Oryzias latipes: one gene and its partners. The protein of the gene in region 3 purifies or fractionates together with the protein of the main gene of each other region. This does not show direct contact. Links are inferred from orthologs where the notes say so. Each region holds a gene or a part of one and is shown on either strand. Other genes may lie near its edges. The genes, in order: cep97, cep290 and cep76.

The links.
Region 1: the proteins of cep76 (region 3) and cep97 purify together in Homo sapiens (co-immunoprecipitation; 4 studies listed by BioGRID and IntAct, with this or other methods). This does not show direct contact. The link is inferred for Oryzias latipes from reciprocal best matches to the Homo sapiens genes CEP76 and CEP97.
Region 2: the proteins of cep76 (region 3) and cep290 purify together in Homo sapiens (co-immunoprecipitation; 5 studies listed by BioGRID and IntAct, with this or other methods). This does not show direct contact. The link is inferred for Oryzias latipes from reciprocal best matches to the Homo sapiens genes CEP76 and CEP290.

Annotation. Positions count from the first base shown.
Region 1 is NC_019879.2:10,880,748-10,883,637, reverse strand, and holds part of cep97 (centrosomal protein of 97 kDa), read left to right. Parts: intron 1-1,060; coding exon 1,061-1,162; intron 1,163-1,253; coding exon 1,254-1,367; intron 1,368-1,446; coding exon 1,447-1,613; intron 1,614-1,700; coding exon 1,701-1,865; intron 1,866-1,972; coding exon 1,973-2,145; intron 2,146-2,237; coding exon 2,238-2,847; intron 2,848-2,890. UniProt on the Homo sapiens protein: Acts as a key negative regulator of ciliogenesis in collaboration with CCP110 by capping the mother centriole thereby preventing cilia formation. Required for recruitment of CCP110 to the centrosome.
Region 2 is NC_019864.2:2,301,191-2,304,845, reverse strand, and holds part of cep290 (centrosomal protein of 290 kDa), read left to right. Parts: intron 1-39; coding exon 40-245; intron 246-1,335; coding exon 1,336-1,487; intron 1,488-1,942; coding exon 1,943-2,054; intron 2,055-2,307; coding exon 2,308-2,763; intron 2,764-2,837; coding exon 2,838-3,002; intron 3,003-3,368; coding exon 3,369-3,473; intron 3,474-3,655. UniProt on the Homo sapiens protein: Involved in early and late steps in cilia formation. Its association with CCP110 is required for inhibition of primary cilia formation by CCP110.
Region 3 is NC_019874.2:5,551,233-5,554,731, forward strand, and holds the end of cep76 (centrosomal protein of 76 kDa), read left to right. Parts: intron 1-140; coding exon 141-314; intron 315-486; coding exon 487-704; intron 705-2,577; coding exon 2,578-2,716; 3' UTR 2,717-2,998; downstream 2,999-3,499. UniProt on the Homo sapiens protein: Centrosomal protein involved in regulation of centriole duplication. Required to limit centriole duplication to once per cell cycle by preventing centriole reduplication.

The DNA of each region.
Region 1 (2,890 bases), on a different chromosome or scaffold from region 3:
TTTCAAAGGCAAAGGTTTCTTTTATTTTGCTTCCTCCAGCCTTCATTACATCTGGGCTGGATTACTGGAATTCTCTTTATTTTGGAGTCAGCCAGTCGTCCGTCTCGCGTGTCCGGTACGCTGCTGCTCATGTTCTGGTTGGAGCCACATCCTAGCTACCTTTCACTGTCTGCCTGTGGTTTTAGAGCTCATTTAAGATTCTGTTTTGAAATCTTTAAATAATCGTACCTTCATACCTGTCTGAGCTTCTCCCTAAACCCCAGCTTGGTGTCAGGTCAGCCTCTCTTGGACGTGCTGAGGTCAGGAAGAAGCTCAGACTGGAACGAGCGTTTTCACTATGTGCACCGAAGCTGTGGAACGTGTTACTGAGTGCAGCAGGGATCCTCACTGTCCTCATTTGGGGAAAAAAAAACAAAAAAACACATTTTTATAGTCAGGCCTTTGACACAGCATTTTTATTTTACACTGTTTTACTTTAGGTTTACACTTTTAGTTGTTTTTAATGTTTTGAGCTTTAAATGTACACCACCTTGTTCTGACTGTGGTTATCTGAAGGCGCCATATAAATTATCATGAATTAAAATGAATATGAATTTTTTTTGGATTTGTAAAGTTCAAAGTTAAACCTCGATCACCTTTAGCGTCTTTCTCTTGCAGTCGTTTCCATTTGTTTTTCCGTAACTCAGTTTTAAAACCTAAAGCGGTTAAGAGCACAACACTCGTCTTAATAGCTGTAAAATCTGAACACAACTTCCAGTTTAGCTCTCGTTGAAGCAGGTAAACAACACAATTCGTTTTGATCTGTTCACATTATATTTGTCTTTTGCTTTTTTATCTAAACACATTTGCAAATAAACGATAAGCTATGGGCTCCAATAAATTGTTGTAATTTATTTCAAACTCAGCAGGTTCAAAAGTTTTTAAACATAAGTGTTGACATAAATATTGAAGTACATTTTAGGATGGTAGTTGTTTTAGTTTTTCTGCAGTTTTATTTTTCAGGTTGTAAAGCTGAATCCATGGGTTTGAATGGATTTAACAGCACTCTCATGTGTGACAGGTGATTGAACAGCTGTACAGCTGTGTGTCTCTTCAACACCTGGACTTGTCTGACAACAACATTTCCACCATTGGAGATCTGACTAAACTGGCTGCATTAAAGGTCAGCGTTCAAACTGACACTCACGCTTACTTAAAACAACACACCGGCTGTGAAGATGTTTGGTTGGTGACTTTCCCCGTTGGTGCTGCAGACACTTCTGCTTCATGGAAACAGCATTACAACACTCCGCACTGTTCCCGCCCACCTGCCGGCGCACCTTTCCATTCTGTCGCTGGCAGAAAACGAGATCAGGGACCTGAATGAAGTAAGTCCTGGGTTTTGATACAGCTTTCCTTCCACAACGAAAGCATCTGAAAGTCATTTTTCTTCTGATTCGTGTTTAGGTGTCGTACCTGGCATCACTTCATGAGCTGGAGCAGCTGTCCATAATGAGCAACCCCTGCGTTATGGCGACTCCTTCCCTGCCAGGTTTTGATTATCGACCGTACATCATGAGCTGGTGTCTGAATCTGAAAGTCCTGGACGGCTATGTGGTGACTCAAAAAGAAGGGTGTGTACGCTCTAGATAAAAAAAAAAAAAGACATGTTTGAGTGTTTGAAATAATTAATTTGTACTATAAATATTTTTCTGATTCAGTCTGAAAGCTGAGTGGCTCTACAGTCAGGGTAAAGGTCGTTCATTTCGTCCAGGGCAGCACGTCCAGCTGAGTCAGTATTTGGCGACTGTTTGCCCTCTGACTGCATCACCAGCGCTGGAGACGGCAGAAAACGCCAAACTAGAGAAGATCCTCAGCAAGCAGAGGTGAGGATCTCTACTGTTGTTCATCATTCCCTCCATGCTCCTCCTACGAGCATCATATGTAACCATTCTGCATAAAAATATCTCTAAGACTGATGCTCTGGTCTTAGGTTTCATCAAAGACAGCTGTTAGAGGAGACCCAGGGAGGCTGCCTCAGTCCTCCACGTCCAACCCAGCTTGACGTGGAGAGGCACAGCCCTTCACATCCACTAGGGGGAGCTCAAGAGGAGAAAGAAGTCACCACACCAGGACCAGCTGATCCTCCATCAGTCCTGGAGAAGGGTGAGGGGGCTTTGCAGCTCTGTGTGCTAGTTGCTGCTTGTTTGGAAGGAAATGTGAAGTGGATTTTCCTCTTTGCCACCTTTCCTGCTTAGAACCAGTGGTGCAGTTCAACACCTGGGTGAGCTGTGACTCCGCTCATGCATCGCTGCCGGTGGTTCACAGCCAAAGGCTCGCAGAGGAACACATTTATTTGGAGGATGTGCAGACCGATGAGGACAAACTCAACAGCAGCATGCTGTCGTCTGAGTCCGTGTTTCTGCCCTTCACATCAGACACAGACCTGCACACGACCCACACCGACACCGAAGACGAGACTGAGACGTTTGAGCCCGATTCTCTGGCTCTGAAACGGCCGGCACAGCCTAAGACGCACAGGACGCGCCACCCGCCAACAGAGAAACCGGACCAGAAGACTATAGAGAAAGAAGCTGGCGCCATCACACCTGCACCGCCAGCCTTCGGAGCCGGAGCGCCACTCGATGGTCCTGAGGCGTCCACCGACAGAGCAGAAATAAAAGGAGAAGTGGGTTTGTTTTTGAGAAAAACGATGACAGAAGCAGACAAAGCAGCTGTTAAAATCCAGTCCTGGTGGAGAGGACAGCACACGCGATGTTGTCACCCCACTGCTAAAGAGGTGCGCGGTGAAATCCGCCTGCGGAGGATGCAAGATCACATCGTCTTTCTGACGGACAAATTAGAAAAGTAAGTGACTCAACAAGCGTCTGTCACACACATTCACCTCTTT
Region 2 (3,655 bases), on a different chromosome or scaffold from region 3:
GCCTGCACATGGTGTTTGTTTTCATTTCACTGTCTCCAGGTGCAGAAACAGGCCTAGATAAAGAAGGCAAGGCAACAATCAACAATGAAATGGTCTCTGCTGCGAGAAGGATCACCACTTTAGAGATGAAGGAGCTGAATGAGAGGCAGAGAGCCGAGCATGCCCACAAAATGTACGAGCATGTGAGGAACTCCCTGAAGCACGTGGAGGAGCGCAACTTGGAGCTGGAGTCCAAATTTGCCAAGGTAGGAAACTTAAAAAGGAGACGTAAAAATGTTTAGGGAGCTAAATTCTTGCATTGTAGCCAAAAATATCCATCTTTGTTTGTAAAATAATTTCAGTGTTGTTATTATGCATCATCCAGAACCTATGGGATCAGATTTCTATGTCAACATGTTGGTTTGTGACTCTAACAGACACAGGGCACATGATGCATGTTCAAGAATGCGCTAAATGAGAGTTCTGAAACGTGCTCAGGGAGGGGCTTCTTCCTTTATTTCTTGTTTTTCTGTTTACCAGCACATGTCTGCCATGTACAATTGGAAGAAGCTCAATGTGAATTATCCAAACAGTGTAAATTTCGCATGTCTTTCTCCATGCTTTTTTATTCACAGCTCTATTCCAATTTATGAAAGACTTGGTGTCATGTAATTCCAGCCCGGCATAAATGCAATCATTCATTTGTAGGCCGCGGTGCAGAGCCAGAGCTGCCAAACTATGACCGGAAGATTACAGTGTCAGTTCCTGCCGTGCCAACCCATTTGTCAAAGTGTCCTTGGGCAAGACACTGAACCCCACGTTGCTCCTGGGGGTTAATAGCTGGTGCCAGTGTAGTGAAGCCGCTGCCGGTGTGTGAGTGAGTGAATGGATCTGAGGCTGTGCAGTGCTTTGGGCTGCCTAAGAAGGTAGAAAAGCGCTACTTAAGCTTACGCCACTTACCATTTTCTCCATGATCAATTTCCAAACGGTTGGCACTTCCAAAAATTCAAGGAGACATCATCCATACGTCACTACCAAGTCTGAGTCCCTGATTTGTCAAAGTTCAACATGTGTTCAATGGCCACACGTTTAGCACATGGAGCCCAAACACAGTCGTAGAAACATGTAGCTATGCCTACACGATATGCACGAGGGTTTTAAACACAGTTTGACTTTACACAGACTTTTCATCGGAAGTGACTGCTTGAGTGCACATCCAAGGGCGATTTTGTACATAGCTTAACAAAGCTTAGAAACTGGACTGTTGTTTCTCTGTTTGCTCTTGATGTTTTCTTAGATAGAGCTTGATTCTACAATGGCTTTTATCAAATCCTTTCTTTGCTTTTTTTTGTTTAGTTGACCAAGATGAATGCTGAGGCCCAAAAGACTGAGCGAGAGCTAAGAGATGAGTTGGCGCAAAGCATCGGCAAAGCTGTGAGCGATGCTGACAGGGCCAGGATCGCAGAGCTGGAAAAGGCTGAGGTGGAGCTCCGGACTGAAGTTTCAAAGTATGTCCGAGTATCTCGGTATTAAATCTATCAATATGCTCTTATCACGAAAAACAAGCTGTGTTGAAAACTACGTAAGCATTCCAGCCATTAATCTGGTGATAAATTTTAAAAGTTAGAGTTGTTTGTTGAGTCTGGTTTTTTAGATAAGTTCTCCTGGCTGTGGTTTTGATGGGAGAAGCTGGAGAGTTTTTCTTGGGCTATAATCAACATTTGTTTTGGAATCGTGAACATAACAGCCTCTCAGCATATTTCTTTCCCTGTTTGTAAAAAGTGAAAATCTGATCTTAGTGCTGAAGTACTGATTATAGATCCATGTTCTCAAAGTAAAATGAGCTTTTCTGTGCTTTTGGATCAACACAATCCCCTGTGTCTGTAAATCATTCGATCAAAGACACCTATTGTTTTCTGTTATTGCTTAAGTTGCACTCAACATATCTTATTCTTTTTGACAGGCTTCAGGAGGTGTCAGAAGTTGCTTTGACTCAGGTTGCTGCTTTACAGGCCAGACACAGGTCTAAAGATAAAGAAGTAGAAGCTTTGAAGACACAAATACTAGATTATCAGGTACGTGAAGTGGTTTTTTTGCTTGGGGCTCTACTACACCAAATGATCTATAGAAACCACATCTGTTAAAGATGAAAATGGTGTCTTTAACATGTTCTTTTGGCATTTTTTTCTGTTGATTGAGGATATATATCAAGAAAATTAAGCTTAAAATTGCATTTCTTAGTATTTCCTTATTAAAATCGTTTAGAATCAGGAGCAGACAAAAGAATACTGTTTGAATTGTGGTTATTAAACTACAATATCTTCTCAGTCACAGTCAGATGAGAAGGCTCTGATCGCAAAGCTCCACCAGCACATTGTTGCTCTGCAGCTCAGTGAGTCGGCAGCTCTGGAAAAACTGGATTCCTCCACAACTCGCATCCATCAGCTGGAGGCCCACATCCTAAGAGCTGAGCAGCGTCTGGACGCCGCCGAGCGCTCGCTTTTCCTCGCCCGCCAAGAGGCCAAGAATCGCTCGAGGCATCTGAGGCAGACCATCCAGTCACTACGAAGGCAGTTTGCTGGAGCGCTGCCACTTCCTCAGCAGGAGAAGTTTTCTGTAGCCATGCTGCGACTCCACGAGGACAGAGTGAAGGCCCAGGAGGAGATGAAGAAAGCTGAGGAGGAGAAGCGGAGGGTCCAGGGAAGAGCCGAGGAACTGGAACTGAGACTGCAAGGCCTACAAGGGCTCATGTCAACTCTGAAGGATGCAAAAGGAGCACAGAAGGTTTGTAGAAGAAACATATGAGCCTATTGACCTATCTTATGCTCACTCTATACACAAGTATGCTATTTACACAGGTAACTGAGTGGCACAAAAGGATGGAGGAGGCTCGACTGCAGGAACTGAGAAAAGGAAGGGAGCTGGTATTCCAGAAAGAGGAGATCAGGTACCTGAAGAACCTTGTGGGAGAGCAGGACCAAACCATCCGCTCACTGGAAGAGGAAATTGTTCAGCTGCAAACAGTGAGAAAATAAAAATCTCCAGACATTTTTAAACTGGCTAAAACCTACTTTGTTAATATATAGAATACTTTGGCTTTATTTCATTACAAAGGTTCAAGGTTCAAGGTTAATTGCCGTTTGCACATACAGTACATTTGAATTTTTCTTTGGCATCTCTCAGGTCAGGGTGAATATAGAGCAAGACAAAATTTAAGAAGAGAACAAAATTAGATTTAAAAAAGTACAAAGTATAAAATACAAATAAATAGGAATATTGCAGCGTCCCAACCTTTTCAGAAGAAGAATTATTGCACTTATGTGGAGTTAAATTGTGTTAACAGTTTTAGAAGGAGGCTTTTTAACAGTAATTTACTTTTCGACATTAAGCTTAACGAAGAGCAACAGCTTGCAAGAGACCAACGGGAAGTGGAGTTGGAGCGCCAACTGGAGGACTACGAGAAGCACCAGAGTGAGATCGTCGGCAGTGTTGAGGTAAAGCATCGCTTACAGCTGGTTAAATCAGTGGTTTTTCACCTTTTTGGAGCTTGAGTTCACGTTAATATCACTTGATTAAAAATCACAAGGGACGCCATAGAGCAATATTGGTACAAAATAAATAAATCCAGTGCTGCAATACAGAAGCTCTCCGTGGCTGTATCACGCTTCATTTTTTG
Region 3 (3,499 bases):
AATGGTGTGTCTTAATGTATTCGAATGTAAAAAAGTAAATGTAGTCTCCGAAATCCTCACATCAGGCTCCACTTTGTGGGAAGAGAGAACATCCACTGGGGTTTCGGTAGTGGGTCAGTGTGAACTCTGTTGTCCCTCAGAATCCGTCCCGGTGGAAAGCCATGAGTGAGGAGGCTCTGAGGTCAGTTTGTGGCCCAGGCTCCTGCACCTCCCTACCCCCTCTGCCTCCTCTATGTGCCCCGTCTCTGGATCCTTCAGCAGCCAGCAACCAGCTTGAGATGGAGATGCGCTACCTGGTGTATGAGCACAGGAAGGTAAAGTGGTTTTAAGTTTGATGGAAAACCTACATATACAACCTACATGATACAAAGTGGGCCACCTGTGTGCAGCAGAAAAGGTTGAGTACAAACTATTGGTCATAGAAATTCCTTAAAAAAACATGTTCATTTATTGTTTGTGGGATTGTAAATGAGCCATCTGCTTCAGGACCTAGATCTGGGAACAGTGTGGGACGACCATCTCTGCTACCTGCTGTCCTCGGCTCTGTCCGCTTATGAAATGGAGCGTTGCACTGGAGTTTCCTGCGGCAATGAAGAGTTCCAGGACGCAGTGAGGAGGGCTGTGCCAGACGGACAAACCTTTAAAGGTTTCCCTATACACTTCCTGCACCGCAACGCTCGCAGAGCCTTTGCCACCTGCCTCAGGTACGATCTTTCTGGAGAACTGATGATGCATTCACACTGGACGCGATTTGCGCATCAAATTTGCTTCTGCCGCCTCTCTCTTGACACGCATCAAATTAACTGCTCCACACCCGACGACGGAGCAACTGCCATAGTTTTTCTGGACTTCATTCGTTGCCACATCTTGAATAACATGGATGATGTTGAGCGAAGAACTTGGGTTTATATGTTTTGGAGAGTTCTACAGAGGCGCCAGCAAGCTCGTTGCCATGTCTGTGTTCACCAGATCCTTCAGAGTTTCTCCCGGTGCTTAACTCCAGCAGCGAGAGCTGCGCCTGGATGACGGCAGTTTTAAACATTACTACTGTCTGTCTGTGGCTCAGTTTGAGTATGAACTGGCTGGGGGGAAAATAAAAATAAAACGGGGTTCTTTTTTTTTTATTGCCTCGATGAAAATAAGATAAACATGGAGCTAAAGCGATCGCGGCACCTGCTGTGGCTCTCTGTCCGCTGGCCAGCTAACTACCCGTGGGCCAGCATAGTGACTGCCAGGCCCTAGGCAGCGGTGCTCGCTCGATCCCCTTCCCCTGCTTGCTCGCTTGCTATGCTGAGTTGCAAAGGGGGTGGGGGGGTACACCCTGAACAGCGCCGCCTAGGGTCCGGCCGGACCGCTCTGCCATCGTAGTAGTCTTAATTCGACCTGACAACCCCGCGGCCCCAGCGGGTTAAGAAGATGAATGGATACATCAAGCAGCCATATTGGATGTATTTGTTTACCCTTTGACCGAGCCACTGTAAACGTCACTTGCCCAAAGCTGAGTCCCTAACTGGCGCGTCAACCTCGCCGTGCCACGCCCACATAGGGCCACATGCCCTCAGATCGCTCTGTACATTGACTTAACATTGAAACTCAGTGCCCTTGAACACGCAAATCGTGTATGGCGTGAATGCACCACGAGTCTGACTCCTTTATGAGTTTTGCAAACTGTTATTCTGGATAACTAAAGGTAAAGTATTCTGGATTTATTTAGTCAGGAAACAAACACGGCACTGTTTGTTGTGGGTGACCCTCAGCTTTAGTCGACCTCAGTATGTTGGCCACAAAAGTGTCAGAGGTAACCAACACTCTGCCTGTTAAACAGGGGGTATCTTTTCAGGACTTGAATTTGACCTTAGCTCCAGTGAAAGGAGCTCTGAATACTTCAACAAACCAACAGGATTTAGCCAGATCCATCGTACTTTAGGCTCCTGTTCCACCACATCACTCTGTACCATTTCTCAAAGTGACACATGAATGAGCCAGTCTGAGCTTGACTTGCATGCACAAACTCCATTCTGTCCACTTCTGAGTTTGGACGTGCCACCACAACACCGAGCATCAACCTTGTAACCGGTTCTAGAAGACCACCTTCTGATGTCATTGTTGTTCCTGTGACAGCTAGACACTACAAGAAACAGGAAAAGGTTTCCAGATTCTTCCAACCCAAATGTCTGTTGTGTAAATGAGCCTGATAATAAGTACTTTTAGAAGACACAAAACCTGCTTTTGTATTTAGAGTGTTGGTACTTTAGTACTGCACAAATCCCTATAATTGTGTTTGTCATTTCTGTACACCCTCTCCCTCCTAGAATCAATTCACACAGGTGTTGCAGAATGTGTGGTTGTTGTTTTTTAACTGTAGTTGCAGAACAAATCTTCATATTTGTAAGCTTGGATCATGCTGTCACAGGGATTTATGAGCCGATCGCAGGGCTGCAGCTTTGGACTGCATTGCTGTGCAGACATTTGGTTTCTTTTTCTAAAGCTTTGTTGATTGTGGTGTTTAGCGTCGTAGACTAAAATGTATTTTTTTTTTTTTAGCGGATCTCATTTTTCTGTTCTGTGATCTTTCAGGTCTCCGTTCTGTGAGGAGATCATCTGCTGCCGAGGTGACAGTGTGAGGCTGGCCGTCCGTGTGTGGGTCTTCATATATCCTGAGAACGCGTGTGCCGTGTGGCTCATGTTTGCATGCAAATACCGCTCTGTACTCTAATGCTGCACAGCATCAAGACACTTTATGCAGACAATTTCTGATCACAAAACGTCTGAATCCATCATGAAATGACGGTAAAACCAGCAGTTACAGGAATATTCTGTTCTCAGATACCAGTTCAGGAATAAGCAAAATCTTCAGTTGTAAGTTTAGTTATTTATTTTTGGCAAATAAGATATTTTTTCTAACTGTGTTCTTTTATAGAAGCATTGTAAATGTATTTTTTTCCTGATTGCACATTTTTTCTTATGAACATTAAAGATGTTTATTTCTCCATGAAAAGCTGACTTTTGTTTGCATTAACAGGAGAGATTTCTACAAAACTAGCTTTTGAAAGAGATGAACGGTGCGTCCAGATCAAATCAAACGTCAGGTTTGTTTAGGTCAACAGAAAAATACAACAATCTGCAGCAAGAAAGAATGTGGTGGTCTCAGAAGGTGGGGGTGGGGGTGTCTGTCTTTAAGAGCATTGTCCCCATTAAGTAGAATGTGATTTTCAAAATAAAGAACCCGAAGAAAAGCTATGGAGGAGGTTGCAGGAAGAGCACATAGTGACGATGAAGATCACTGCTCACATCATCTGCCAACACAGCCACATGCCATTCATAGTTTTGACGCCTTCAGTGTGAATCTATAATTTCATAGTCATGAAAATAAAGAAAACTCTTTGAATGAGAGGGTGTGTCCAAACTTTTGGTCTGTACTGTATCTGAAGGATTTTGGGGATGTAGTCCAGGTCAGTGCTCTCTGTGGAGAACACTCACTTATCCTTCCACGTTCTCC